4 linked regions of the Elephas maximus indicus genome follow. The protein of the gene in region 4 interacts with the protein of the main gene of each other region in a biochemical or structural test. Links are inferred from orthologs where the notes say so. Each region holds a gene or a part of one and is shown on either strand. Other genes may lie near its edges. The genes, in order: MARK1, FYN, AKT1 and MAPT.

Evidence for each region.
Region 1: of the proteins of MAPT (region 4) and MARK1, one has a biochemical effect on the other in vitro, tested with the Homo sapiens proteins (4 studies listed by BioGRID). The link is inferred for Elephas maximus indicus from reciprocal best matches to the Homo sapiens genes MAPT and MARK1.
Region 2: of the proteins of MAPT (region 4) and FYN, one has a biochemical effect on the other in vitro, tested with the Homo sapiens proteins (10 studies listed by BioGRID and IntAct, with this or other methods). The link is inferred for Elephas maximus indicus from reciprocal best matches to the Homo sapiens genes MAPT and FYN.
Region 3: of the proteins of MAPT (region 4) and AKT1, one has a biochemical effect on the other in vitro, tested with the Homo sapiens proteins (3 studies listed by BioGRID and IntAct). The link is inferred for Elephas maximus indicus from reciprocal best matches to the Homo sapiens genes MAPT and AKT1.

What each region holds. Positions count from the first base shown.
Region 1 is NC_064842.1:10,067,634-10,075,363, forward strand, and holds the start of MARK1 (serine/threonine-protein kinase MARK1), read left to right. Parts: upstream 1-4,726; 5' UTR 4,727-4,992; coding exon 4,993-5,043; intron 5,044-7,730. UniProt on the Homo sapiens protein: Serine/threonine-protein kinase. Involved in cell polarity and microtubule dynamics regulation. Phosphorylates DCX, MAP2 and MAP4. Phosphorylates the microtubule-associated protein MAPT/TAU.
Region 2 is NC_064819.1:177,871,784-177,879,791, reverse strand, and holds the start of FYN (tyrosine-protein kinase Fyn), read left to right. Parts: upstream 1-5,003; 5' UTR 5,004-5,094; intron 5,095-8,008. UniProt on the Homo sapiens protein: Non-receptor tyrosine-protein kinase that plays a role in many biological processes including regulation of cell growth and survival, cell adhesion, integrin-mediated signaling, cytoskeletal remodeling, cell motility, immune response and axon guidance.
Region 3 is NC_064828.1:119,089,308-119,097,157, forward strand, and holds the start of AKT1 (RAC-alpha serine/threonine-protein kinase), read right to left. Parts: upstream 3,009-7,850; 5' UTR 2,904-3,008; intron 1,522-2,903; exon of another isoform or gene 618-1,521; intron 400-617; 5' UTR 317-399; coding exon 271-316; intron 1-270. UniProt on the Homo sapiens protein: AKT1 is one of 3 closely related serine/threonine-protein kinases (AKT1, AKT2 and AKT3) called the AKT kinase, and which regulate many processes including metabolism, proliferation, cell survival, growth and angiogenesis.
Region 4 is NC_064837.1:52,646,409-52,653,441, forward strand, and holds the start of MAPT (microtubule-associated protein tau), read left to right. Parts: upstream 1-4,031; 5' UTR 4,032-4,154; intron 4,155-7,033. UniProt on the Homo sapiens protein: Promotes microtubule assembly and stability, and might be involved in the establishment and maintenance of neuronal polarity.

The sequences.
Region 1 (7,730 bases), on a different chromosome or scaffold from region 4:
ATAGGGTTTCCAAGGAGTGCCTGATTGATTCGAACTGCTGACCTTTTGGTTAGCAACCACAGCACTTAACCACTACACCACCAGGGTTTCCCCATAAAGATTACAGCCTAGAAAATCCTATGGAGCAGTTCTACTTATGGGGTTGCTATGAGTCCACATCAACTCAATGGGCACCTGACAACAACAACAACAACAATAATAATAAAGGCCCTTGATTCTTCAGTAGCTAAAGCCATCTATAGATTCCGACTCATAGCAACCCTGTGGGACAGAGTAGAACTGCCCCACAGAATTTCCAAGGAGCACCTGGTGGATTTGAACTGCCGACCTTTTGGTTAGCAGCTGTAGCCCTTAACCACTAGGCTACCAGGGTTTCCTTCAGTAGTTAAACCTCTTCATTATAAATGTTGACCTTATAAAGAAATGCTGTCCAACAAAGATATAATATAAGCCACATACATAATTTTATGTTTTTCAGTAGCAACATTTGAAAAAGTAAGAATAGTTGAAATTAATTTTAATATTTTATTTAACCAAATATATCCAAAAATATTAGCATTTCAACATGTAATCTGGTGTGTATTTCATACTTGTAGCACATCGCAACTCAGATGCTAAATTTTCATCGGAAATACTCGATATCGTAGCCCTGGTGGCATAGCAGTTAAGAGCTGCGGCTGCTAACCAAAAGGTCAGCAGTTTGAATCCACCGCCACTTCTTGGAAACCCTATGGGGCAGTTATACTCTGTCTTATAGGGTCGCTATGAGTCAGAATTGACTCAATGGCAGCAGGTTTTTTTTGGTTTTATTAAGATTTTAGAAAATTTAGATTGAAAAGCTTTTTCAAATATACTTAAAATTTTTCCAATAACTGAATCAAATGTCAGTTTTAAAATTTGAATTTTTAAAAAAATAAAATGAAAACTTCAGCCCCTTGGTTAGCTCCACGTCAAGTGCTCACTAGCCATGTACGGCTAGTGCCTACTGCGTTGGCTCGTGCAGGTCTGGAGGGCTGACGGGAGCAAAGCTCTTTTAGCACGTTTCAGTGTGTATGTTTAGCACCTTGTAGTCTTGATTTCTCTTTTATTGTCTCAGTACTTCGATTTTCTTCCGAAACTTTTATTACCCTAACACCTTAAATTAAAACAAACAAAAACCAAACCAGTTGTCCAGTTGACTCCAACTCATGGCGGCCCCATGCGTGTCAGAGCAGAACTGTGCTCCATGAGGTTGCAGTGACTGATTTTTCACAAGCAGATTACCAGGCCTTTCTTCCGACGTGCCTCTGGGTGGACTGGAACCTCTAACCCTTCAGTTAGCAGCCCACGGCATTAACCTTTTGCACCACCCAGTTAACCAAACCAAACTGAAACTATTGCCACTGAGTGGGTTCCGACTCATGTCTAGCCCACATGTTTCAGAGTAGGACTGTGCTCCATAGGGTTTTCGGTGGCTGCAATCTTTACAGAAGTAGATCACCCGGCCTTTCTTCTGCAGTGCCACTGGGTGAGTTTGTACCACCAACCTTTTGGTTAGTAGCCCAGCACAAACTATTAGCAACACCCAGTTAGAAGCCTCTGAGTTGAATATGCCACATTAGTTAACAATACTGAGGAAAATAATTCAGAATATTTCTTTTGCCATTTCTTCACAGTCACAGACACACGGAGCATTATACAGTAACAAGGCAATTTTGCTCGTGAGCGTTCATATCACTAAGGTCTGTGGCTAAGCAGTTTTAATGCGACCATAGTACTGCTTCATGTCGATTTGAGCGGAAGGGAGCTCACACATGGGGAAGCATTCAATAACTCCTCAAAAAACCCCAACGGCTTTTTTTTTTTTAACCTATACAAAGCGCATTTTCATTTTGTTTCATTATACACCGAGCCTAAAGCTATGGGTATGAAAAGGGATTATTTGAACACCATTTTTGGACAGATGGAGTTGTTTCTAGTATACTTTGCTAGCTAGAATTACGGATTTGAGTTTCCCAGTAACGACTATCTTTGAATGCAATTCCATTATTATAGAATTTTCCTTATTCCAAATTGCTTTTTTCCCAAGTGTGTTGATTTTTTAAAATAAGTATCCCTCATTGTTTATTACCTAATATTCCATAAGTTTCAATATGCGAAGGCCCGGTGTGGCCAATATAGCTAAGAGATTTGCCCAGGATTTCTCATGTACACTTGACAGTCTGCAGAAGCCACTGGGCTAGAATCCCGGTCTCTCCTTCAAGCTCTGTCTCTAATTGGCCATTGTACCTTACAGGGGTGAACCTTTGGGTCTTGTGCCTGGTGCACGATTGAACAGTGCCACATATTCCTGCTCTCTTCTTCAGTAACCTGATGCATTTGTGATCTTGAGTGAGTCAGTTGAGTGGGATTTTGTACAGTGGAAATAAATATGCCTGTGAGGGTCACCGTAAGGGTAACATTATAATAGGTGAGCGTGCTTTGAAAGGCAAAGTTCAAGTGAGCAGTTAAGGAATGATTTATATGCCAATGGGGCCGAGCCTCCTTTTACAGGTACTTGTCTATTCCCAGGTCAACACAGGTACTGTTGTAACACAAGGTACTCTTGCGTGGCTGCAGCAGTGAGTGGTGGGGCTGACACTGCGCCAGTAGCCCCTATGGGCAGCCGTGGCTCTAGTTGATCAGGGCCGTTAAAGCGCAGCCTCTGCCCTGGCAGCTTCCGTACATCTTGTTGAATCAGGACCTCCACAGAGGGAGTGTAAAAGCTTGGTATTCCCAGTTGCACACCGTAACTCAGGATGCAGCCTTACTCTTCCAAAGCCTGAATTCTGTTTGAGGAGTGGTGATGAACACCCAAAGGGTCTTGTGATTTTTATTTGCTTTGTGAAGCTGAGAAATGTTTACGAGATAAAATGCTAAATAAGTAAATACATAGACGGTGTTCTAAAAAAACAAAAAACCCAAACCCACTGCCCTGGAGTAGATGCAATCCCGACTCATAAGGACCCTGTAGGACAGGGTAGAACTGCCGCATAGGATCTACAAGGCTGTAAATCCTTCCAGAAGCTAACTGCCACATCTTTCTGCTGGGGAGCGGCTAGGGGGTTCGAACTGCCAACCTTGCCATTAGCAGCCCAGCGCTTTAACTATTGTGCTACTTCTAGAAAGGAATATATGCTGAGTGAGTTTTTTTTCCCGTCAGAGGATATTTGTATTTGCTTTTTTTAGGTCTTTTGGGACATGTTTTAAGGGTCAAGTGTTAACTTTTCAGAAACAACGTTTAATGATTCAGAATAAAAACCATCTGGTACAGAGATTCCTCCCTGACATGGAGGAACTTCAGGGGAGAGGAGGAATTTCCCATCGTCTTAAGGTTCCCATCGGAGGCTTACGGAAGTAGCTCCAAAATTGGATCTACATCCTTCTATCTATTGTTCCTTTCATCTTCCTGCCTACCCATGAAAGGAAGCGAAAAAGAAATACTGGACTAGTGAGATGGGAAGGTTTTTGTCCTGGAGGGTAAGAGCGTGCAAAATCTAAGCTCTCAAGTAAGACAGAAAGGAACACCATAGCCCTAAGGAGCTAATGGACCGTAGACCGTGCACTACAATGAGCTGCAGGAAAGGCGAGCAAGGCACCTGGAGGAGGTAGCACAGGGCCCAAATCAGGGACAGCTCTCCTCCCTCCCTACACAAGCTCGCCTCAGTGACACTTCCTTGTGTCCCAGGAAGTGACGACCAGCCAATGTAGCCTTTGTGACTCCCGGGTCTCACCCTCTCTGGGGGTGCTGTAGGGCCAGCCGTGCGACCTCTTCCGCTGGCCACCTTCCCAAGGAGGCTATGCCGTCCGGGGCGCCTCGGCGAGCTGCCTGGGCTGAGCACCCCTCCGTGGCTGCTGGCAGCACCCTTTGCCCAGCTGTTAGTGTGACCCTGAACCCCACGGCTCCCTGGAGAAGGGGACGGAGAAAGGGCGTAGACAGGACAGGGACTGAGACAGCGTGCGAACCCGGATGGAGGAGAATTTCAGAATGGGCAAAGTCCCGAGGTAGGATATAGGAGGTGTAGGATCCAGTAGGATTATACCCAGTTCTTCCCCGGTGGAACCGACAAAAAGCCGCTTCTCTGCATCAGCTCCCTCTCACCCAAACCCCGCAAAAACCAAACACGTTTAAAAATAAAATCACCAGAGGCTGAGGCGCCCGTAAACCCCGCGGGTGGGGCGAGAAGCAAAAATAAACACTGGGACTCGCGGGCCGCAGACGCGGGCGGAGGAGGGAGGCGGCCCCGCATCCCTAATGAGGGAATGAATGGAGAGGCCCCCTCGGCTGGCGCCCGCCCACCCGGCGGCGGCCGCCAAGTGCCTCTGGGCGCTGCGTGCCGCGCCCGCCGCTCCGCGCGCAGCCGGCTCGGCCGCTCCTCCCGGCAGAGGCGCGGCGGCGGGGAGCGCGGAGCGCGGCGGGACGGGCGGCCGGGACGCGGGCTCCGGGAGCGGGGGCGCCGCCGCCGTGGGCCCCGCGCGCGTGGCTGCGGCTCGGCCGGCGGCGCTGCACACCTGAGCGGGCGCGGAGCAGGGAGCGCGGCGCGGGCGGCGCTGTCAGGGCCGCGGCTCCGGGACGAGCCCGGCAGTGATTGGAGGCGCCGGCTCCCCCTCGGCCATGGCCCGGGGAGCCTAGCGGGGCCCGGACACCGCCCCCCGGCTCCGCTGCCCGCCCCCGGCCTCGGCGCCGCATCCCGCCGGCCCGCGCCGGCGCCCGCCCTCGTCCGGAGCCCGCCCTCGCTCCGGCCCGCGTCCCCCGGCGCCGCCGCCGCGGGAAGCGGCTCCCCTCCTCTCCCTCCGCGTCCTCTCTCCGCTCTCCGCCGCCGGGGCCGCTGGTTGCAGCGCCCGCGGCCTGCGGGAGCCGCTCGCCCGGCCCGGCGCCGGCCTCGAGCTCGCGTCTGCACCCCTTCCCCTCGTCCCCGGGCCCCGCACCCAGCCTGCCGGCGAGACCCCGGCCCGACCCGCCGCCCGCACAAGATGTCGGCCCGGACGCCATTGCCAACGGTGAACGAGCGGGACACGGAGAATGTGAGTAACCGGAGCCTCCCGGGAGCGGCCGGCCGAAGCCCTCCGCCGACCCCCGCTTCGCCCTCGGCCCGGCCGCTCCCCGCCCCCAGCGCGGCCACCGAGGCAGGGTCTCCACCTGAGCCCGGCGCAGCCCTCGCCCCCTGCGCAGCCCCCGCTCCTCGTCCCAGCCCCGTTTGGCTGCTTTCCCCTGAAGGGGGAGGGCGGGGGCACTGTAAGTGGCGCCCTCCCCCTCGGAGTGGTCCTCCGGCCGAGGATGGGGTGATGAGGCGGCGAGGCAGAGGAGATGGCAGAGTGGGCAGTCGGACTGCTCTCCTTCTACCCCCGCATTCTGTGTCCCCACCCGAGTAATTGTTGTACCCGAACGGACGAGCCAGCCCCCTACCTCTTCCCGGCCTTGCTTTTCTGGATCTTTCAGTTCTGGGCACCCCCACCCCCCGCATTGCCCCGTGACTTTGCTGTTTGTAACGTTGTGCCCACATGTTGGGTCGTGGGCACCCGAGAGGGAAGGTGGGGAATGGAAGGGACGGGAGTGCCAGAAGAATACGTGTGTGTTTGTGTGTGTGAGTTTATGCTGCTCTGATACTCCAGGGGGTACGAGCAGGAGAATTTCAAAGAACACCTTCTGTGGCCTTGAGGTTCCAGCAAAATGTTTAAAAGCCCTATGAAGCCAACGGCTTTTTCTCCTCACCCTCAAGTCAGTGGTGATCATTCAGGGCAGGTTTTACTTTAAATATCTCTCCTCCTTCTTGGAGTGTCTGTCACAAGGTACATTTCTTTGAAGGAAGGATTTTCTGTGTCTTTGATCACAAAGCCCTCAGGACTTTTTAATCAAGATGCAGATGTCCCCGGTGTTTAAACACTTGAAAACCCAGAGAAGGAGGTCAGGTGTATTTCCACCTTTTGAAAAGTATGATTGTATGTGTGTGTGAGTTCCTTTGGGGGAAAGATTTTTTTTTTTCTCTCATTCTTCTAAACGAAACAAAACAAACAAAACAAAGTCCTCATGACGTGTAAATAGGGCCTTTGCTGATTTTCTGACTGGCTTTAAGGAGCTAGATGGGTACTAAGTTTTGTTCGGCTCTTCAGAGCTCTCAGGTTGTCTGGTTAACTCATCAGCCCTTCAGCACTTGATGTACCAATATGGTTAGTAAAATAGAATAATGAGTGGCTTGGCATTCTTAGACAAAAGGTGTGAGAGAGAAGAGACACAAGCTCACTTTGGAAGTAGAGGGGGTATAAACAAATATTTAATCTTGGGGAGTAGGGGCGAACAGAAACGTTAGTATAATTGTAGGAAGGGAGAATTAATTTCAGCATGAGATCGTTGTAGGAATACTTCATAAGATGTTTCACAGAATGATTTTGTCATCTCTAGTGTCAGGCATTTAAAATGGTAAAAGATAGTGTAAGGCTGCCCTCAAATTATGATTTAATTTGCCTCATGACTGTTGTTTTTTAAAATATAATCGATAATTTCAATTGAGAGATTGAAGAAGGTGAGGGAAAAGATGAAAAATTTGGTTGAAGTTGATTGTAAAGCCAAGTTGGTTCAGAATTTTTCTAACAGGAGCTCTCAAAAAATTCATTTCTGTCATTTAGGAGTGTGGATGAAAAGTAAGATGATGACCTTTGTGTTTATTAGCAAATTACTGTGTGTCAGCCTAGGAGGGGTGGGAAAATGCATGGTTTTTGTGTTTTCTTTTCTTTTGGATCTTGAATAACATAGCTCTTTTTGTGTGAATAAGGGACATTATGCTGACATGAGATAGCAATATAGGAATATGCATCAAATAATCATACAAAATGAAGCATTGAATGTAAGACCAGAAAATGGGGTTTTGATCTAAGCAGTAATAGTGGGATAATTTTTTTGTGTGAGTGCCTCCTGAAAATGGTTATGTTGTATAAACTCATTTGCTCTGTTCCTGAACATGTTATTTCCAAGTCGCTATTATGGTCTCTTCTCTAGTTGTCATTGCGTTGTAGGGCAGTCCCAGGGTTACCAACATCGGATTTAGACTCACGACCCATAGTTACAAACCAGCCCCCATAAAGCCTAGTATATTAAAAATTGGAGGTACATGCAGTGATTCGTAATAACAAAAATGTGCTACTTGATCAAAACACTATAATTATTACTAGTGTATTATTATGTCAAAGGTATTTTAGTATATCCGAAAGTTTTTTTTAACATTTTTTATGCATAGAAAGGCACATTATATACTAAGACAAACAATTTGTCTAACTCAGATACGAACTGTACCTAACTGTTCCAGTTTACATTCAAATCCGACTTAAAGACAGATTTAGGAATGGAACTCGTTCATAATCTGAGGACTACCTATACTTAAATACACCTCCATGTAACTTACTTTACCCACATCATCATTTTCTCTTCTTCGCCGTGGCAAATATCTATTATACTATGAAGAAAAAAAACTATAGCTGTTAATTAATCAATAGGTATGCAGTCAGCTCTGCACTTCAGCTGGAAGGGATACAGAAGAAGTATTTAAAACAAGGCCTGTGCCTTCCAGGAGAGTACAGGAGAGAGAAATGTAATCCCAAATATAGCATACAGTAGAAGACACTCTGTACTAGGGCTAACTTGGTTTATAAGTTGTAGGTGTTTATTGAAGGGACCACGAGTGATGGCTGTTGAATCACTCTTCGTGCCTCTTTCTTCC
Region 2 (8,008 bases), on a different chromosome or scaffold from region 4:
CAGAAAGTTGTTTACCTGTGTTTTATTGACTGTGCAAAGGCATTCAACTGTGTGGATCATAGCAAATTATAGATAACATTGAGAATGGGAATTCCAGAACACTTAAGTGTGCTCATGAGCAACCTGCGCTTATACAAAGAGGCAGTCATTGGAACAGAACAAGGGGATACTGTGTGACTTAAAGTCAAGAAAGTTGTACATCAAAGTTGTATCCTTTCATTGTACTTTTTCAATCTGTATGCTTAGCAAATAATCCTAGAAGCTGGACTATATGAAGAAGAACATGGCATCAGGACTGGAGGAAGACTCCTTAATAACCTGAGATATGCAGATGACACAAACTTGTTTGCTGAAAGTGAAAAGGATTTGAAGCACTTACTGATGAAGATGAAAGACCACACCCTTCAATATGGATTACACCTCAACATAAAGAAAACAAAAATCCTTACAACTGGACCAATAAGCAACATCATGATTAATGGAGAAAAAATTGAAGTTGCCAAGGATTTCATATTACTTGTATCCACAATCAACATCCATGGAAGTAGCAGCCAAGAAATCAAAAGACGCGTTGCATTGGGCAAATCTGCTGCAGAAGGCCTCTTTTAAAGTGTTAAAAAGCAAAGATGTCACTTTAAGAACTAAGCTGCCCCAGACCCAAGCACCTAGTGTTTTCAATCGCCTCATATGCATGTGAAAGCTGGACAATGAATAAGGCAGACTGAAGAACTGACCCCTTTGAATGATGGTGTTGGGGAAGAATATTGAATATACCATGGACCTGGACTGATGGCACTGGGTTGGGTGGGTATGGACTGCCAGAAGAATGAACAAATCTGTCTTGAAAGAAGTACAGCCAGAATGCTCATTAGAAGCAAGGAGGCAAGACTTTGTCTCATATACTTTGGACATGTTATCAGGAGGGACTAGTCCCCGGAGAAGGACATCAAGTTTGGTAAAGCAGAGGGTCAATGAAAAACAGGAAACCCTCAAGGAGATGGATTGACACAGTGGCTGCAACAATGGGCTCAAGCATAATGATTATGAAGGTAGCACAGGACCAGGTTGTGTTTCCTTCTGTTGTACATAGGGTCACTGTAAGTCAGAACTGACTCCACGGTACCTAACAACAACAACAACATATAGTTGCAAGAGCTCTGCTGCTAGCCAAAATGCCAGAAGTTCAAATTTACCAGCTGCTCTTTGGAAACCCTATGGGGCAATTCTACTCTGTCCTATAGGGTTGCTATTCTGTCCTATAGGGTTGCTGAGTCAGAAAGGACTTGGGTTTGGGTTTTGGTTTATACACTTGTTCAAAGAGCCCTGGTGGTGCAATAGGTTAAGCGTTTACTGCAAAGGTCAGTAGCTGGAACCCACCAGCCTCTCCACAGGAGAAAGATGAGGCTGTCTGCTTCCGAAAAGATTACAGCCTTTGGAACCTATGGGGCAGTTCTACTCTGACCTATAGGGTCACTACAGATTGGAATCCACTCCACTGCAAAGGGTTTGGTTTTGGATACACTTGTTCAGACCATTAGCAAATTCTCTCGAGGAGGCCAAATCCATTTAAAGCTACATTTAAGAAGACCAGCAGATAAAATGATAGGCAAGAAAAGAATTGCAAAAACAGGATGAAGTCTCGATGGGAGCAAGTTAATCTATCATTTTAATTTCATTGTCTCTTCTTTTCGTCCACTAATTAGATCAAGAAGCTGCTAGAGTTGCAGAGGCTAAAAAGTGACTGAGTCCTTTTGAAGAAGTCATAAACAACGAGCTGCCTTGCCCCATGTCTTAGTCATCTAATGCTGCTATAACAGAAAAAACAGAAGCGAATGGCTTTAGCAAAGAAAAGTTTATACTCTCACAGTCCAGTAGGCTAGAAGTCTGAGTTCAGGGCACCAGCTCCAGGGGAAAGCTTTCTCTCTCTGTGGGCTCTGGAGGAAGGTCTTTGTGATGCATCAGTCTTCCTTTGGTCTGGGAACATCTCTCTGCAGGAACCTCAGGTCCAAAGGACACGCTGTGCTCCAGGTGCTGCTTTCTTGATGGTATGAGGTCCTCATATCTCTCTACTCGCTTCTTTCTTTTACATCTCAAAAGAGATTGGCTTAAAATACTACCTAATCTTATAGATTTTATCAATATAACTGCAACTAATCCATCTCATAACATCATAGCCATAGGATTTACAACACATCACATCAGATGACAAAATGGTAGACAATCATACAATACTGGGAATCATGACTTAGCCAAGTTGACAGATATTTTGGGGGGGACACAGTTCAACCCATGACACCCCACCTGCTCCAGATTTCATATAAAATAGATTGAGTCTAATGTGGAATTCCAAGGAGGACTACATCCTAACAATGATTATTCTTGTAATAGATGAGGCTAGTGTGAGATTAGGATTACTATTTCACCGATTTTATGTATGAGGACACTAAGATTCAGAAGGGTTAAGTGTCTTGGCTTATCAAGGTGCTCCCACCAGAGCACTATAGAGCTGGAATCAGAAACAACTCCATTCCTCTAGACCAGTGCAGTCCAACAGAAACAGAATGCAACCTACATCTGTTATTTTAAATTCTCTAGCAGCAATATTAAAAACATAAAAGAAACAGGTGAAATTAACTTTAATGATATATTTCTTTAGAACAGTATAAACAGATTACCATCATCTTAACATGTAACCAATATAAAAATTATTAGATATTTTACATTCTTATTTTTCATGCTAAATGTTAGAAGTCAAGCGTGTTTTTTACAGCACATCTCAATTTCCACTAGTCAAATTTTAAGTACTCAAGTACATTTCAAGTACTCATTAACCATACATATATGGCTACTTCACTGGACAGAACACCACTGTGGCGGTGGTTCTCAAGATGTGGTCTCCAGACCAGTAGCATCAGCATCCAGGAACTTGTTAGAAGTGCAAATTTTTGGGCCCCATTCCAAACACACATTATCAGACCCTCTGTGGATAGAGCCCAGAAATCTGTGTTTTAACAAGCCCATTGAGATAATTTTGATGCACCCTCAAGTTTGAGAAACATTGATCTAGACAACTGCCTCTCCAATCCCAGGCTAAATAAATCCAGGACAGTCATGGAAGTCTAAGAACTAAGGAAGAAGAGCCCCTTCTCTTGAGATACGCAATTCTTGGCTAGATGAGGTTGGCATTCTCTTGTATGGAAATCTTCTAGACCTAGCTGTGGTTCCATTTCTTGGAAGTATGGAATGAATTACCAGGCATACAATTTAAACATGGTTTTATTTTTTGCTTGTTTAAGAAGAAAAAAGCAAAAACAAAAAGTAGTAACCACTCTGTATCATCTATCCCCTTGAGTTTCTTCTCTTTTCTTCAGTTTCCTCATCCATACAATGGGGATCCTTCGATAAGTGTTAGCAACTTTAAAAAAAAAAAAAAAATTACTGAGTACAAAAAAGAAAAGAGTCAGCACAACTGATTTTTTTTTTTAATTAGTGGGCAAGAAAGGTAATATTATAGATTTTGAGCATAGAAGCAGAAGTTGATTCACTTATATTTCTTAGAGCATTAGTTTTGCTGAGAGAGGAGGGAGAGTTTTTGCCAACATCGTTAAGGAGAATGATTCTGGGCATGCCTTGAAGCAGAGCTTTCTGTAAACAGGAATTACCTATGAAGAAAATCAGGAAGCCAACGTGTTTCTTTTCATGAAGTTACATCCTGCCATAGAAAAGCTGGATAGGAAATAAAGACTGATGCACTCCACCACTGTATACTATACACCGGCTATTATTTCATCAAGGGAAACCTGAGCAAAGGCTCAGATTCAGTGTAGGGAAAAAGCCATGGAAAATCAAAGACAACCACTGGCTACAATTAAACATGATTTTGGGAAGAAATGTACAAACAAATCTCTACTCTGTGATCGTGGGTTCCTTTGTCACAGCCTCCCTCTCTCCCCGTTTCAGTAACACTTCCTCGAGATTTTTGTTTGAAAATAGAAATATGTAAGTATATCTATGAAAATGGAAGACAAATATATTAATTCCTAACTTTTTTTTTTTAGTTTTTATTATTACTGTTGTTATTATTTGCTGTGTGCGTTTCCAGGGTTCTCCCAGCTTTTCCAGTTTCTGTGGTAGAATTCTACCTTGCTCCGTACTCTTTTCAGTTTGACCAGAAGAAACGCTTTCCTACTCTAACATTTTCGCATTTTATCCTCCGACCCTTAAACAAAAAGACACCAGAAAGGCATGGCACCCCATTTTCGAGGCAGGTTCCTATGTTTGGGGGAATGGAAGATGCTAATCTGCAGTGGCATCAGCAACCTTCCATAAAGCAGAAACCGCAGCTCACACCTCCTCTCCTTTCCCCGCCCTAACCCACCACCTCACAACTCCACAATCCTTTAAAAACAAAAAACTCCTCCAACCTCTCATCCCGTCGCACACCCCACAACGGCACGCACGCCAGGATGCCGGCTGCCACAGTAACGCTGTACCCACTCGGCCGCCCCACCCACTGCGGTCCCGCCCCCGCCCCAGGAACCAATGGTCGCCGCCCGCAGCTCTCAAGGGGCCCTTTGATTGGGGAGCGGGGGCTGCCACTCTCACGGCGCGTCCCGCCCCCTCCTCGCCTCCCTCCCGGGCTGGAGGGGCGCGAGCATCAGCGGGAGTAGCTGCGAGCAGGCGGTGCGTCTTTGCAGTTGCGCCATCTGTCAGGAGCGGAGCCGGCGGGGAGGGGGCTGCCGTGGGAGAGGAGGAGGGGTCGCCGCGAGCCGAGGGCCTCCGAGACCCGCCCGCCCGCCCGCCGGCCTCGGAGCAGAGGCCAGGCTGCTCTCCGAGCCGCGCGTCCTCCGCCGTCCGGGCGCGCGGCGCTTCTCCCCGCGCACCGAGGGCTCCCGGGCTCACACAAAGCCGCCGCCCGCGCCACAGAGGGACCCGGCGGCCGGGCCGGGGAACCCCGGCGCCGCCCCTCTGCTCTCTCGGAAGGCGCCCCGGCTCCGGGACCAGCCGAGTAGCCGCCGGAGCCGCCTTGGCCGCGCCGGAGGAGGGCGGGGAGAGGACCATGTGAATGGGCTCCGGAGCCTGAGCGCCGCGCAGGTAAGCGGCCGAGGATGCGCGCGGGAAGCAGTGGGGATGCTGCGGGGCCGCCCGGCCTTCGGCGCCCCGGTTCCGCGCCCCCCCGCCGCGGGGCCCCGCGCTGCAGTCCCTCGGCCGCCGCCGCCTCCCGGCCTCTCCGCGGGCTGCCGGGGAGCTGGCCGTGCTCGGGGACTTCCCGCGGCCAAGCGGGAGGACACCTCTGCGGAGGGCGCCGCGGGGCAGCGCAGGGATGGGGGCCCATTTCCCAGCCCGCGAGCCGGCGCCGAGTGAGAATAGGAATTGGCTTGGGGGCGAGGCTGGCCGGGACTCGGGCTCCGCCCCCGCCCTCCTTTCAGGGCCCCTCGCGGGAACCAGGGCTGTGTGTGTTGTTTTAATGTCAGCGATGATGTAATCACTTAATAATTGATGCCCCGTGCTGCTTCCCTCCCCACCCCACCCCACCCCACCCCACCCCTGCCCCACTCCACCTCTCGGCCTCCTCCTCCCTCTGCGGCCGTCTCCTTCCCCTTCGCATCCTTCTGCCTATTTCTGGCACCTCCCTTGTACTTCCCCCATCCTCCCCTTCACTCTTCCTGTGCCACCACCCACCCACCCACCCACCCTTCCTCTTCCCCTGTGCTGGAGCCTTCCCTCCTCTTTCTCTGCCCCCTACTCCTGCTGTTCCCTCAAGCTTCTTTCTCCCTTCGCCGATCGCTGTATTTCCTCTCCGCTTCCCTGGATCGATGGCTGTTTTTTTTGTTTGGTCGCCTCCCTTCTCTTATCTCTGCGGCCACAGGCGGAGATGACTGGACCAGAAAGAGGCCACCGAGCTTGGGTCCAGGGAGGAGAATTGCTAAGACTCGTTGAGAAGAGGGATAATAAAATCACCCTTCTTGTCCCTCCTCCCCCAGTAAATCACACAGGCTCCCCGGGTGTGTGTGTGTATGTGTGACACAAAGGGCTCTTTCAGTGCACAGAGAAGAGACACACAAAGTACCCAAGGATGGGCCCGATGCTTCTTGTTTCTCTTCCCTAGGGCTTCGCTTTCGCTCAGATGAAGCAGTTGATCTTCTTTGTGAGAGTCTTTCCTGCCACATTTACCAAAAAATAAAAGGCCCCAGATGCAGGGTGGCAGGTGCCGGCATTTTGCTGTGTTCATGGGGCATTTTACTGTGTTCACGGACCGGCAGTGTTGACTGGCAGCTGCAGCGTTTCCTAGATTCAAGGAGAAAATGATTACAGCAGTCTTTTAAGAGTTGCTTTAGTGTTCTAGGTAGCTCCACCTTCTTTTTTTGAAATTGGGTACCATGAGTTGGGGTTCGATAAGTTGGCGTGGGAGCAGAAGAATTTTGTTTCTAAGTCAGAAAATTAAATTGGTGTTTGATAAGAGCGATGCAGCCTGACTTGCTGCTTCTCCCAAGTCTAAGGCCACTGCGCTGAAGTCTTTTGAAAAGGAATCTTGTCTGCCCAGTGATGCTGGTTTACCATTAGGTTTAAATAAGTACCTAGGGACATTAATAAAACAGCATTGAATTGGCATTTGGAAGACTGCTGGAGACTGTCTCTTCCCTGCTTCAGGGTAGCCTTCAGACGCCCACATCCTTCCTCACACCCCCAAGCAACTGCAATACTTTCCACCCTTTGTGCTCTCTTTCTACCCAGTCCCTGCCCCATGGGTACTGTGATTTCTGATGAAGAGACCCACGGACTTTCAGAGGAAGTGGTTTGTTAACTATCTAAGGCTTTGGGGACAGTGAGATATGAACAGGGATATAGAGAATCTTTTGACTGAACTCTAAACCATCTGCTTGACGTTCCTCTTAAAGAGGAAATGGTAATATAAATCTGGGGGCTTATGTTCCATTTTGTAAGCCAGTGATTATTTCATGCTTAGTGGATAGTGTCAAAGCTGAGGTTGAACGTGTTGACTCCTAGGAACATGGCTCCTTGACTGTTATAAGTAATGGAACAAGTTTATTCTTAAAGACTTTTACTAGGAAGGAGCTGTTACGGTTCATTAAACGTTTACTTCTGCATTTTCTAAGGACATTCATCGTGGAACTTTTACATTAGAAAAAGCAATGGGTTAATGAGTGTATTATAAAGACAAAGGGTTGTTTGTTTGATTCCAGACCCAGGAAGGAGAGTCAGTGCACAATAAACTCACACTCTTTTGACCAAGTTAAAGAGACTTCTTGCATAAGGCTGAGTGTGAACAAAACCACACTCTGCTTTCTGTGTTTTTGCTCCATGCTTTCTCCTGGGTCTGAAATCCCCAACCCCATCTGACTTGCTTAGCAAAGTCCTATTTAACTTTCAGGGCCCAGCTTAAATGTCATCTCTTCTGTGAAGCCTTCCGTATTTTATATCATCCAAACAAGTTATCGTGCCTCCTCTGTATCCGTCCACCCCGAACTATTTTATTTTCAAGCTTCAATAGCAGACATTATGTTTGGTGTGTGTGTTTCCACCATTGCTTGGTCAGCACATCGTGAAAAGGAACCTGGCCTTATTTATCTTGTCTCTTATCAAGTGGTACCTCAGTAGTTTCTAGTGTGAATTAGTCTTTGGTATGTGTTAAAAAAAAAAAAAAAGTAGGCACTGCATATTAATTAGGCTCATGTTAGTAGGTTTGACAGATCACTACCACTAGTTGTCGCTGAGTCGACTCCAACTCATGGTGACCCCATGTGTGTCAGAGCTGAACTGTGCTCCATAGCATTTTCAATGGCTGGTTTTTCAGAAGTAGATCACCAGGCCTTTCTTCCAAGGCACTTCTGGGTGGAATCAAACCTTCAACCTTTCATTAGCAGTCAAGCACATTAACCATTTTCATTACCCAGGGATTCCATTTAGCAAGTAACCCAAAACCCACTGCCCCCCCTAATATAATGGCTCAAAAGCAATAGACTTTTATTCTTTCTCATGTTCAGAA
Region 3 (7,850 bases), on a different chromosome or scaffold from region 4:
ATGCCAGGAGGCAAGCTGGCAGCAGCTCTCCCACCCCATGCCCCAGCCAGGACGCCACTCAGAGGCCGCCCTCTCCGGCTACACGCTAAGTGGGGCCTCACTGCCCCTCATCTCCGGCTGGGCCCTCCATGCCGACACGCTAAGCTGGGCCCAGGACAATCCCTGGGGAGGAGCCCCTCAATCCCCAGGCATCACGTGCCACCCATGGTGCCTTCCAACCCCAGCCCCCAGGGCACGCATAGCCCCCAGCCCCACAGGGGGTGTACTGACCTCTCTTGTGCAGCCACCCCTCCTTCACAATGGCCACGTCGTTCATGGTGCTGGGCTCCGGTGGGGACCCCACGACACTCAGCTGCTCCTCCTAGGCAGGTCTCCAAGCCCTGGCGGTGCCCACAGCCACTGCAAGACAAGGGACCTGCGTGAGGCCGGCTCCTCTGTCCCCGTGATCTCAGCAGCTGGCTCATCTCTTGCCCGCCAGCCTGACCCACCCTTCTTGAAGATCAGACCCCACTGCCATCCCCCCACCACCGTCCCCTCTGTTGCCCCCACCTCCCCTGGCCCTTGTACAAATCACTCCCATCTCCCAAAGGCCCTCTGGCTTATCCAGCTTCCCTAACCTGCCAACCCAGCTGAGAGGTCGCCTCCTCCAGGCAGCCCTTCGGACTGCTTCAGCCCATGCCTCCCCAAGCCCCTGATCACGGGTACCCTGTCTGTTCTCCTGGCCCATGGGGTTTCTGCCCACAGGCTGGGGTCCCTGGGGCAGGGCACAGGGCCCCTCCTCCCTGTCCCTGAGACCTGGAAAGGAGAAAAGGTCAAACGTAACAAAGGCAGGGCCAGGAGTGCAGGCAACTTGTGAAAATGAGAGCCCAGAGCTGCCCCAGGAGACATGGAAAACCTCCCCTGAAAACCCCCAGGCCCCTCCTAAACCACAACGCTCCTGTCCGTCTGAATCTGGCTCATTCATCCTGTCGCCAGGTACCAGGCATCTCTGGTTTTGCCAGGCCCAGTGCTGGGGCTTGGGACAAAGAGAGGTTCAGACAGACCCTGTCGGCAAGGAGCACCCAGTCCAGGGTGGTTACAGACCCATAATTATAGCATTCAGGAGGCAACAAATAGGGGGGTGGGGGGACTGCACAAACAGCAGTGGCACTGGCGCCCATCCACAGCAGCCCACCAGCCAGACCTCACTGGAGTAGACACTTCAGCCATTGATCCTGCATGCTCTCCCCCCTCCCCCCTCACCCCTGTTGGACGAACTCCTAGGCATCCCTCAAAACCCAGCTCCCACGTCACCCACTCTGGGCATCCCAGGAAAGGGCACTTGACACGATCGTCCTGTGAGCAGTCCTCTGCTACCCTTCCAGATGGGCACTCCCAAAGTGGGCCTGGGAGACTCCTCAGGGACCACCAGGCTGGGCAGAGGACCTCTATGGAACTGATCCCCACTTGGGCACCAGCTCACCCCACGGCAGGGCCTGGTAGCTTTGCACTGATTGTCTTAAGCTAAATTGAAAACAGCAAAAAAAAACCTCATGCCATGTGATATCAGGGCAGAGAAGCCACCCCCACCCCCACCCCCACCCCCCCGCCCTCCATCCATCTGAGCAGTAGCTGCTGGGACTCAGCAGGTCCACCTGCGGTGCTCAGAAGAGAGGCTGATAAAGATATGACCAGGAAAGAGGAGGGGCACAAACGGCTCTATGAAACCCACGGCTAGGGATCTCGGACCGGAGGGGGCATGGCCTGGAGGCAGGGGCTGGACTCAAAGACCTCTCCGTGCCCGCCTTGCGCCTGAGCCCCGAAGGGAGCCGGCCCCAGGGCCTGTGCTGACAAAGTCAGACAGCTGCTGAGAGCTCGGGGCTCCAGTGTGTAAAAATACATCTGTGCACTCACAGGGTGGTGTGTCGACACTGAGAATGTGCGCCCCAAACCAGCCACCGGACAGCTCTGAGCCAGGCCAGCGGGCGGAGGGATCCACCATACATGTGCTGCCGCGACTGTCTCAGGGAAGCCGTGTTATTGCTACTGCTGTTGTTATTGTTTAAGTCACACTTTAAAAAAAAAACAACCTGGGCTAGGAAGAGGCTCCCCCTGCCCCGCCAGAGAATGCTAGGTTTTGAACTGTGTGTTCAGCTGGGGGGCGGGGAACCAAGCCCCCACTGCAGCACCCGCCCTACACGTGGACCAGGGGCTCAGATCAGTCAACAGCGGCCACTTGGAGCAAGGCTGGGGCCCCCCGCGCGGAGTAAATGTGGGGGCCCTGAGGCCACGGAGCACAGCCCCCGCCCTGCCCAGGAGGGCAGCACTCAGAGCCAGGAGGAAGATGCCCAGCTCCCTCAGGGAGCCCCAATGTGAGGCGACAAGCCCCAGTTGCCCTCCAGGCCCGGCCCTGGGATGGGTGGGCAGTGCCCCCGCACCCACTCGGGACAGGAAGCCGGTCCGGGGCCTGGAGGGAAGGTCGGGCCCGGGAGAGGTTAGGAGCCTTTGTGGGCTGGCCTGGGCACCCGGCCACCACGGGCAACTTTGTCTCTGGGAAAACGAGCCCTTCTTCCCGCGGCCCACCCACAGACGCGGACGCGGCGGCGGGCCGAACCTTCCCCCAGGCCGCCTGCGCCCCCGCTGCGCGTCGCGCCTGCTGGCCGCGCGCCCAGAGCCCCGCGCCCCGACCCCCGGCCGCGCAGGCGGGCCCCCTCTCCCGGCCCGGCCCGGCCCCAAGGTCATGCGGGGACCCGGCCCGCGCCCCGGGCCGGCGTGGGCGCCTCCCTCCCGGCCGCCCCGCGCCCTCCGCGCCAGGCCGCGCGCTCCCGGCCACTTCCTGCTCCGCGCCGTTCCGGCCCGCCCGCCCGCCCGCCGGCGCGAACAAAGCCCCGCGCGGGGCGCATCCGGGCCGCGGCGGGACTCACCGGGCCGCGCGTCGGGCGCCAGCGAGCGGGGCCTAGCCGGGCCGCGGCCTCCGGCGCCCGCCGCTCCGCATCCCCGCCCGCCGCGGCCCGGCGCGGGGCAGGTCCGGGCTGGGGCCGCGGCCGCGGGCGGGCGGCGCTGTGCTGGCGGCCTCGCGGAGCCGCCGCGGGCTCGGTGCTCCGGCCGCTCGGTGCTCCGGGCTGTGCGCTGGGCCGGGCCGCCCGCCGCGCTCGGTCCTACCGCCGCCCGCGCCGCGACCCGCCCTCTCCCCGCCCCGCGCCTCCCGGAGCCGCCCGCCCACATCCGCCTCCGCCGCCCCCGCCGGCCGCCCCAGCGCGCCCGGCCGAGGAAGCAGCCCTCCGGCGCCCGCTGCGGGGCCAGCCTCTCCGGCACCGTCCTTCCGACCTCAGTTTCCCTGTTTGCAAAGTGCGCCCGCACTTCCCGGCCCGGAACTGCCATGACCCTGTTAGGACGGGCGGGGGAGGAAGGTCAGGGACGAATCCTGGGGATCTGCCTCCGTGGGGGGCGTCGGTTTGACTGTCAGCGGTGCCCTCGGGCCCAGCCCCACCCTGAAGGGGGGACAAGAATGTCCAGAGAGGCCCCGTTCCAGCAGCCCTGTCCAGCGGGATGGGGGCCCCAGGAAGTCCTGTTTGAGGCGGGCCTTGAATGCGGGCTGGAGTTTGGACAGGCTTTGGGGGGAGGCTGACATTCCTGTGTGTTGAAGGCCCACCGTGCCCCTGGCCATGATCTGGGCCTCCATTAACCGGAGCCAGGCCCTCAGTGCCTACAAGGGGCTTCCAGCAGCCCCCCTAGGAGGAAGAGACTGAAGCGGGTAGTTCCAAAAGGGAATGAAGGAGGGGGTTCTGCGTGGTGACAGGGGAGAAAAGGGGTCTCAGGGCCCAGATAGAGGACATCCAACCAGCACCTCCCAGCTCATGGGCTTCATTCCTCATACCTGTCTGGCCACCCGGTCCTGAGCTGGAGGCAGACACCCAGAGGAACTGGGGCTCTTGTGGTGAAGGGGGTACAGACTCAAGAGAAGGGCTGTGATGGTTGGGATGGCTCACAGCCCAGAGGGGGGCCCCGTGTAGTGTCCTATGCCTTGGGGCCCAAGCCCCCTCCCCGCAGACTGGGAACACCTGGATGACTCACCTGCAGACACTTGTTCTCTGGGCCAGTTTCTCCAACTGACTCCCCACCCCGAGGCCTCCAGTCGATAACAACCCTTTTGTGAAAGGAAGACTCTTAGGAGCCACCATCAGGGGTGGTAAGTATTTGGGTGGGGGGGGGTCATTTTTGTTTTTCATCCAGGGTCAGAGTTCAGCCCGGGCTGGAGGGAGGTGTGGACACTCACTCTGGCCAGAGGCTCACCTGCAGCCAGGTGTAGCCAGCCGTGTGCCCGGGACGAGGCTCTGTCCACAGCAGAGATATGGATCCACCCCTGCCCCTCGGGGCTGGACAAGGGTAGGACGCCCCTCAGAGAAGGGCAGGGGGCTCCCAGCTCCCAGCCTCTCCCCTTAGCACCTCCGACCCTCCCTCTTCCCCCTTCCCCCCAGTACAGCTGTCCCAGCTCAGACCATGTAGACTCCGGGCAGGGCCCTGCATCCAGGGGCCCAAGTCATAGGTCTCTGTTGCCTGGGCTGGATGCTGACCAAGGATCCCCCAGAGCCGGCGGGTCCCACGTCTGTCCATCACTCACCATTCACCCAACAAACACTCATGTGGTCCCCTAGGTTCCTCTGTCCCACCTGGACACTGCTCCCCATCTCAGGAGGAACGTCCTACCTGTCCCCTCACCCCCTCGGGGCTCAGCAGAGGTGGAGGAGGGGAACCCGCTGAGCCTGGGCAGGCCAGGTAAGCACTGCCAGGGCAGGAGGGTGCCCTGTCGCGGAAGAGGTGTGATTCCTCAGGCCACTCATCCACTGGCCATTTGGGAAATGGCTTCATCACAGGGATCCACAATATCCCAGCGGCTGGTGGGGCCCCAAGAGGCCTCCCGCCTGTTCCAGCCCTGAGCACTGCCCCAGCTCATGTGCACCTCTGCCTGGGCCTGTCTCCCCCATGACTTGGCACTCCAGCAGGCAGGCCAGTCCCACCTCCTCTGGCCTCCTCGAGGGAAGGACGGCCCCCTCCCCAATTACAACAAGAGAGCAAAGCTCCGTCTAACTCCACTGGCCACTGCCAGGCCACCTAGGGCTCCTTGGCCAGATGTTTCCATCAAGAACTGCCTCACACCCTCCCCTCTGGAGGACACTCCACCTGCCCCTCCCAGAGCAGGCCTCCTGCCCTGTCACCCCTGCAGCTGCTGGCCGTCAGGGGGCACCTCGCGGGGCAGGCAGCCAGGCTGCTGCTAGTCTTGGTGGCAGCTGCAGGGCGGGGCCTCTGGGCAGTCCCCAGGCCAGATGGTGGCCCAGCCTGCGCGTTGCGTCTCAGGAGGCTCTGCCTGGGCCGCCCACTGACCACTGACTGGGGTTCTCGGCCTCCTGTCATGCCCGGACCTCACCCACCTGGGAAAGGATCCGAGGTCCAAGGCCAGCGGGTACCTGATGCCCATGGGGCACATGGTGGTAGCCTTGACACCTGGACTTCTTGGACAGTCCCTCCCCCACTACGGGGGCTTTGAACTCAGACTTTCAGCATGCCGGGCTTCTCTCCCACTCTCCCCTAATCAGTAAAGTCCTTGCCTCCTCCAACCCAGCCCAGGGTTCCTGCAGGCAGGTCCCCACCTGCCTTGACCTCCCCGCCCCGCACCCCACAACCCGTCAGGTCCCAAAGGAGCTCCTTGTCCTGCTCAGCTCGCCCCCACCCCACCCCAGGGCCTCACTCCCAGGCCTGAAGAGGGGCTGTCAGAGCCCCGTAGAGGGGCCTCCCTCCTCCCCCTTGGGCACAGGGGCGAGGGCCAAAGGAAGCAGCACAGGCAAGGTGGCCAGGAGCCACAATCTCCACACCAGGGAGAGATTTGACAGTGAACAAAATGGTACCTTTCAGCGGGCAGGGGAACAGGAGACCACAGATGTACAGATCCATGACATGAAGTCCCCAAAGAAGACCAAGGCAGAGGGATGGGCAGTGCAGACCGGCGCTGGGGAGGTTGATCTCAACCAGCAGGAGATGACATGGGAATACAGACCACTGAAGAGCCAGGAAGGACTAACTGGGGAACAACCTTCTGGAAGAGCCTGCTACCTGCCTCGCAAGGCATTTAATCTGCACAAAGACCCCCTGAGGGGCACTCATTCCCATTTGGCAGATTCAAAGAGCTTCCAAGGGTCTTATCCCAGGCCCGGTGGCGCAGAGGTAGGCTTGTCCCACTCTGAACTTGACTTTGAATTCAGCTCTTCCTGCTGAAGGCTGAGGCAGGGGGCAGGGCTATTTCAACGGACTGAGGGAGGTGTCCCCAGACTGGAGGGCGATGGGGCCAGGGCACTGCTGCCCCTCTGCTCTTTCGGGCAAGTGACTCCAGGGTTGGAAGCTACAGCTGCCAGATTTAGCACATAAAAACACAGGCCACTGGGACGGATTTTAAGTTCAGAGTTTTAGTACAAGTTTGTGCTTTCTTTCCACACACAGGAGATAAAAACCGCACTCAGGTCTATCACATTGCTGAGTCCCAGAGCCCCTCAGGCCCCCAAACCACTGGCTTCCAACCAGACCCCTCCCCTTGCTCTGGTCCCTCCTGGCGGGTCCACAAATCACAGCTGTTCACCTCATCCCCCCAGGCTCCTGACTTCTCCCACTACTTCCTCTCCCCAGATCCACTGGGCGGGGGTCCATCCTTCTAACCTGGTCCCTCCTCCAGCGCAGCCCCTACCCGGGTCTGGATAACCACACCACCCTCTTCACCTCCTGGGCTCCATGAAGTGCAGAGTGGGACTCAGAACCAGGCTGCCCAGATTAGAACCATGGTTTGGGGCTTCCCCTCCACTGTGTGGCCCTGGGCCCCTCACCTAACCTCCCACCAAAACCGGAGTTGGACGAGCACAGGATTGAGTGATCTCGAGAATGACATGAGTGGTGGGGACAGACAGCTTAGCCGGTGCCTCCAAATGGGTCCGGTCGAGGGCACTCCTGGTCAGGTCCTTGACCAGCAGCACCTCCCAGTGGGACCCCAACCTCTTCAACCCCCACCCTTTTCTGTGGGGGTTTCCATCTCCCACAGACCCGGGTGTCTCTCACACCTTCACGCCGGCTCCTCCCACCTGGAACGCCCAGCCCCCTGGGTGCCGACTCCCTCCCGCGGCTGCCACTCCCCACCCCCCAGACTTTCCTGCCTGCCCTGGGCTTCCAAGGCGCTAGGGCCTCCCTCCGATTCCACCCCACCCCGTTTTGCTGGGACGTGTCCTGTACCCCATGCCGCCTTGGCAGCAGTAGAGGCTCGCTAGGACCTGCTGCGGGGTGGGTGTCCATGCTCTGGGCCGCCAAGGTCGAGATCCCACGTGAGTGTGCGGACGAGTGTCCCACCTGAGATGACATAAATTCACAAGAAGACTTCCCACGAAGGGATGAAGTCGTTTCAGTTTACAGCCCTGCCCCCCACGCGCCCCCTCCCCGATCCCAGCCCTGGCTCCCCGCGTGCTGCCAGGAGGCTGCGGTCCGGGCTGCGCCCTCGGGTGACTGTCCCAGAGCGGACTGGGGGAGGGGATGGCCCTCGGAGGGGGACCCTTTGCGGCCGGGCGCGGCCAGGACCTCAGGGCGACACGAGGCCGAGGCGGCAAGTATCGCGAGAGGGTCCCCTCCCCGCCGCGCCCCGCCCCCGCCCCGCGGGCCCCATCCGGGCGGGGCGGCAGGGGGGCGGGCAGGGAAGGGGCGGCGAGGTGACCTCAGCGGTTCCGCCGCTCCGGGAAGTCGCCTGGGTCCGCCCCCTCTAGCCCCGGCCTCGAGTCCTCTCCCTCCGGGGCGGGGCGAGCGGCTGGGGGGACGCGCCCTGCACCCCGGGCCCCGCGACCCCC
Region 4 (7,033 bases):
ACATTCAGGAATCAGATTTTTCAGGATTTCAGTGGGCCTCTCTTCTTGGGGGAACCTTAGAAGAGGACAATTTGTTCTCCTTATTAACCTTTGACCCCCACAGCTGTAACAGGTCTTGGGACCATCACTGATACTCATCATCTCTCTCCCCTATTATCCATTCCAGGTTCTTCTCACCCTCAGCTTTCACCTCTACTGGTCTAAGGGCTTACCTGACAGCATGACCCAGGCCATCTTCTCTGGGGGATCTCAGTTCTGGTTATGATCACCATGTCCTTCTGTGGTAGGCAGAATAATGCCCTCCCCACCAAGATGTCCACACATCCCAATCCGTGGAACCTATGCATATGCTATTTTACATGGCAAACGGACTTTGCCAAAGTGATTAAATTCAGGATCTTGAGATGGAGTGATTACCCTGGATTATCCAGGTGGGTCCAATGTAATCACGAGAGTCCCTATGGGTGAAAGGAGAGAAGAGAGTCCAAGAAAGAGATTTGAGGACAGAAGCTGAGGTCTGAATAATTCGATTGCTGGCTGGAAGCCGCACACCAAGGAATACAGGTAGCCCCTAGAGGCTGGAAAAGGCAAGGACATGGATTCTCCCCTGGAGCCTCTAGAAAGAATAAAGTTCTGTCAACATGCCATGTTTTAGTCCCATAAGACTCATTTTGGACCTCTGGTCTCCAGAACTGTACATTTGCATTGTTTTAAGCCATAAAGTTTGTGGTAATTTTTCATATCAGTGATAAAACTAATATACATTCTCAGGCTAGGATTGACGTACCTGTCCCTTAACAATCCCAGTTGATTTTAGCCCAGTGATATCTGTTACCTGAGTGAGCCATTACATTCTGGAGTCTATTTGTTACAATAGCTTAGTTTACTGTGACTAATGTAGTATGCGATTAGATCTGATGGCAGAGTTTCCTAATTCTACAGGTATCTGTATCTCAGATCTAACCCCACCTAGGACACCATTACATAAAACACTGAAGCCCAGAAAAGTTAATGAATTTGTCGAAGGTCAGACAAAATGGCTAAGATTAGGATCCAACTCTCCTGAGACCTAATCCAGTTCTCTTTCCTCTACGCCATTCTGCCTTCCATGGCTCTCTATATGCGGGCAGGGTGTGCTCCATGTGGCCAGGAGATTTCTATTTCAGCAAGGGAGAGGGTTGAGAGTATGGATGCGTTTTCTTGGCCTGAATTAGTGAAGCATTAGCTACCAACAGTGATTAAATTATCTGCAAGCAACACTCAACTCCACATTACAAACAGATGACAGATCTGCTTAAGATTGTTTCTAGCATCCATTATCTCAATTTAGTATTAGGCAAATGTGATCATTCAGTATCAGGGGACCACAATGTCACAGGTCTCTGTCAGTTTTCAATTATACTAAATTTTAGAGGAAAGAAAATGAGAAATTTGAATGGGGAGGAATATTTGGCTGCTACCATTTATTTTACGTAAAGAAATGAAGTAATGTGTAGCAAAAGCATTGATAATGATGATGAAATAATAACTACTATTTATCATTTAATGAAAGCCCACAAGAAACAAGATATCTATAATTATCTCATTTAATCCCTGAGTTGGTCAGCTTTGCTGGTGTAATAAACAAACCTAAAAATCAAGCTTCAAACTGGTTCATTCCAGTTTGAACCCCTGCTGAAAATTTGCATTTCTAACAAGTTCCCAGGCAATGCTAATGTTGCTGGTTAGGGACTGATTCTGAGAACCACTAGTAGAGCAGTGGTTCTCAAAATTTATTATACGTAAGAATCACCCAGGGATCTTGTTAAATGCAGATTCTGATTCAGTATATCTGGGGTGGAAATGTAAATTCTCAGCAGGGGTTTGAACTGGAACAAACTGGTTTGAAGACCTGCCTAAAATCTCAGCAGCTTACACAACAAATGTTTATTTCTTGTTCATGTAATACGCGCTTTCTGGCGTGTTTTCATTCTGGAACCTAGGCTGAAGAAGTAATCCTAAGGGTTCATGCCACTGTAGTGACGGAGGGGATAAGTATATATCATGTGTATCTCACATCTACTAGTTGTAGTTGCCGAAGACCACCTCGGGGCCAAGCCAAGTATCAACAGAGGAGCTGAGAGCTGGGGCAAGGCAGATCATGCAGTCATGGCTGGGGATGTATAACCCCTACAAAAGAAGAAACAATTGGGGACAATAATAAAATCTTAATCTGATAGATATTAGTCACCCCCCTTTACCCCTCCTGACACTTCCAGAGAGATGAGTAACTCTGATAAACTCCTTCCAGAAGCTGGAACTATCCCCTCCAGTTGGGGTCATTAGGGATGGATTTAGTAAACTATGAGCTAGGGTTTGAAGGACATGTTATGAGGAGGGACCAGTCCCTGGAGAAGGACATCATGCTTGGTAGAGGGTCAGCAAAAAAGAGGCAGACCCTCAAAGAGATGGATTGACACAGTGGTTGCAACAATGGGCTCAAAAATAGCAAGGATTGCGAAGATGGCGCAGGGTCAGGCAGTTTCGTCCTGTTGTACATAGGGTTCCTGTGAGTTGGAACTGACTCAATGGCACCTAACAACAACAACAAATTGTATGTCCAGAACAGCTCGGATGGTGGGAGAACAGCAATAACGTCACTTACAAAGACTTATGGAATTAGCCTCTTGTACCTATCATCATCCCCCATTGCTGCCAATAATATGTTAATCAAACCTATGGAGCCCCTGGGTGCTGCCAAAGGTTACTGCTCAGCTGCTAACTGAATGTTGGAGGTTAGAGTCCACGGAAGAAAGGCCTGGTGATTTACTTCTGAAAAATAAGCTATTGAAAACCCTGAGGACCACAGTTCTATTCTAACAAACACGGAGTTGCCATGAGTAAGAATCGACTCGACAGCAACTGGAAAAATTAAATCCGAGTTAATAAAGCATTTTCAGTGACTTGCTTTTTATATTAATCTATGATACACATTTTTTTTTTTTTTAAAGAATGTAAGCTATGCAAATAAAGTTTCAAGATAAGTTCCCACCCCCCTAGGAGGAGATGGCTGTCCCTGACCCCCTACATAGAAAGTCTCTCACTGCCAGGGCTTAATTACATTTTAGGGGATAAGGAATCCAAGTAAGGTCAGAGGCTAGGGCCTGGGGCCTGGGTTACCGGGAGAATGTGTGTATCCAGGTGAGAATCTCCAACAGGTACTTAGAAATTCAGATCTCAACTCTACTTACAGTACACGGGTGTTTCAACAAATAAAAAAAGGCTCTGCAATGTTATAAGCACCATTCGAATGTCGTCTAAATTAAGATTTTTTTCTAGGGTCAATTTATACACAATAAATTCATTATTTAAAAAAAAAAAAACTGTAATGCTGAATTAGCCAGTAAGATTTGTTAAGGGAAAATATTCACTTGGTCAATAAGAAAAAAGGTGGAAAGCAAGCAGAGAGGAAACGGGCCCAGGGAAACTGAGCTCCGACAAGGGGATCATTTCGGGAGACCCCGGGAAGAAGGGTCGGGATCACCAGGTCAGGGACAAGTAGGGCGAGCCTGGAGGAAGCCTTGGAGAGGGGTCCGGAGTGGACTCAATGGGGAGCCAGCCATGGGGACATCCACTGAGATGGGACACCGCCCCGGGATGACGGGAAGAAAGGCGGCAGTAGGTCTGGGCCCGCAGCAGCCCGCCTTGCAGCGACCGAAAAGGGTCGCCGAGCCTCCTGCCCGAGGGACGAGACCCGTCAGAAAAGACAAAGGCTCCAGCGGCGGGAGGCCGGGAGTGCGCGTGCGCCACCGAGCGCGCGTGCGCGTGGCTGTCAGTGCCGCGGCCCTAGGCATGCCGACGGCGAGGACCGGGGAAGGAAGCCGCCTAAGGATTGAGCAAGGAGGCCGGGAAAGACCGAGCGGTGGGGCGCTGGCGCGCGCCCGCTAGTGGCCGGAGGAAAAGACGCCGGCAGAGGCCTAGCTGCCCGCCCCTCCCCTGGGGAAGCTCGCGTTCCCGCTGCTCGCGCCTGCGCTGCCCGCCGGCCTCGGGAGCGCGCCCTCTCGCCGGCGCGCGCGCGCACTCGCAGTCACCGCCACCCACTGACTCCCGCACCAGCAGCACCACCACAGCCACCTTCTCCTTCTCTCCGGTCCTCGACCTCTGTCGACCAGCAGGTAAGCGCCGAGGCTCCGAAATCTGCCTACCCCTCGGCCCCGCAGCATCCCCCCGCGGCCGCCCCTCGCCCTCCGCTGCAGAGATGGGCTTCGTGCACTGGGCACCAGTGGTTGACAGAGGTGGGGCCCCTCCCTGAGCCCTCTGCGCTCTGGAGCTGGGGCTAGGGCGGCTTGGAAAGGAACTCGTGCAAAGGATGCACGCGCGCGTGTGACTGCGTGTGTGTGTGTGTGTGTGCGCTGAGGAGGGAGGGGTCCGCACGTCCGGCTTCACGCGGGCGGGGGCCGAGGCTGTGCCCGCAGGGTGGGGCGCGGATGGCGGTGGCCTGGGGAGGGGGCTGCTCTACACTCTTGAACGCCACCTTTTGCCGCAATGGGCGTATGTCTGTGTATGTGGAGGTGGGGATCCAATGACGACCCCCGAAACCGAACCTGTAATCTGATTTCTCTGCTCCCGTTTGCCAGCAGCCCTAAGGAAGGTACAGGTCTGGTTCTAGAAAAGATGACTCCCTGACTACCCCTCCCTGCGTCTCCCCAGAAGCGATTCCAATGGGGTTTCTCTGCCCCTGATTTAAGGCGGAGGCCCGCCCCCTCCCCCTTTTCTTCCTTCAGAAACCGCAGGGGACATTTGGGGGCTGGGAGTGGAATCGGAGAGATGGGGAGGGGTCCAGGAGCTGTCACTTTAGCTGCCCTTCCCCCTGTGCACTCCTGGCACCGACACAAGAGCAGCTTCGCGGATCTCAGTGTGGAGGCTCGGAAAGGCAGGGGTCACCCGGCTTTGCGATTGGACAAACTCGGCGGCCTCGGGTCCCTGCTCCTGGGCGCGCGCAGCCGCGGGCGCGCACAGCCGCAGCCGCGCGCAGCCGGGCGCGGGGGCTGCAGGTGCATTTCGGGGCGGGCCCCTTTCTCTGCGCTCTGCGCGGGGCGGCTGGCGTGTGCGCTCCCTGCCGGAGGCGCTGGGCTGGCGCGCAGGGTTCGCCCCTCACTGCGGCAGAGGGTGTGGATCCGGGTGGGAGAGGAGGAGGAGGGTGGGTTGTGCCTCCTCCTACCCACCCCCCGCTTTTTTCCCCTCAGAACGCGAGGTGCCATCTTTTTGCGGCGTACCACGTACGGTACCAAGCCAGGCTGGGTGGCTGGGCCTCGGAGGAGCAGGGCGGAGACTGCTATTTAAAGGGGGGGCAGGCAGTCGGCGCTGACATTTTGGCATTTATCCGCTGCGGGCGTGAGCACTGGGGGCGATCACCCAGGACCTTTCTCGGGGTCTCGCTGCTTTGTTTGGAGGGATTACGTGATCTGCGCTCCCAGCCCTGGATTTTAGACTTTTAGTTTATGGGGGGTGTTTCGCCAAGTCCCCTGGCCTCCCTGCCTCTTTTTTTTTCGCCCCTGCATTTCAGAGCCATTTGTTGAATCTCGGTGTCTGCCGGGATCGGTGAACCCGAGTCACAGCCTCAGGGGCACGCATGAAACGGGCATGTCCTCGCGCGGCCCCCTCCCGGAGCCCAGCCAAGCCCCAGAGGCATCCGCTGAGCTGAGGAGGTGGAATTCGAGGTGTTGGCGCACCCCGCCAGTGGCCACAGGGGGACCACGCTCCCCAGACCCGGAGCGTCCCGGGGCTCGCTCCCCAAAAGGCTGCACAGTGAGAGGTGCGGGCGACCCCATCCCCCGGGATGCAGGGGCTCGCAGGCAGGGGCTGTCTCCACTCTACTCCCTGTTGCTTCTCCCGGAGCAGATGTGTGTGGGGGGGGGAGCTTGAGGTTCTCTGGGGTGCTGCGGCCACATCCATCTTTTCCGAGTGGACTGTGGGGAGCTACGTGGGGGTTGCCATGGAAACCACACGCGACCCGGGAAGGGGCCATGGGGCGTTCTCCGCCCCTTACCCGCGAAGATTGAGGATCTGGGGAGGCCGGGGCCACGCCCCCCATCCCTTTGATGGCGCGGTGGGGTCCACGGCTCTTCCTTATTGGCCACTGGCGGCCTCAGCCACCCAGAGAGGCGTCCCTGTAGTCTTTTTATTATTATTATGGCCGTTCTGGTGACTATCGTTTTAGAAACGTGCGGGATTTTCGCATAAAAGCCCTGGTTCACTGGTGCCCTTGAAACCAGGGACGGGGGACCCCTTGCGAGCAAGTCCCAGCCTCGCCCTCGTAGTGATTACACGTGCGATGAGGCGGGCCTGCCCGGTTTCTGGTTGGTTCTGTCTCTGCAAACTGGCCTGGGGCACAGATCGAAGTAGATGGCCGAATCGTCCGCTGTGGCCGCCCAGATTGACCTGAATTCCCGGGGAATGGCTTGGATCGGAGTCCAGAGCCCACTGGGGTCAGACCGCCCCTCTGCTGCGAGGCCTCCCCGCAGAGCTGGGCCCTCGGCGGGCTGATCGAAGAGCGGCTCCAGGACCCCGGCTAGGCAGCTCTGGGGGCGGAATTCTCGTGCAGACAGAGCAAGGGTCCTGCCGCGGCCCTGGGAAAGGGGATCCGCGGCCACGGCTCCCCGTGGCGACTCGCAGACAGAGAGATGCCACCTCCTGCCTGTTGGGGGAAAAGGAACTGGCGGGGAGTAGCGCACTTAGCCCAATGCCGGGAACAAAGCGCGGTCCACGCGTCTGAGATTTCGCTCCATTATGAAATGTGTTGGTTTGATGAAGCACTCCAGCCGGCAAGGCCCGGGGGCTGCTCATGGAGGAATCTTAGGGGCCAGAGTGTGGTCCTTCGGCCGGCGATTTGTAGCGCGTTAACGAACGGCCTCACCGGGGCATCTCGAGGGATGCAGCGTTTAAACGGACGCTGAAACGCTGGGCCGGTTGCTGCGCCTCCGGAAACGTCCGGGCACGGATACAAGGGCCACCACCTCCCCGCCCCCGACCCCTAGTAGGCGGGGCTTCTCTC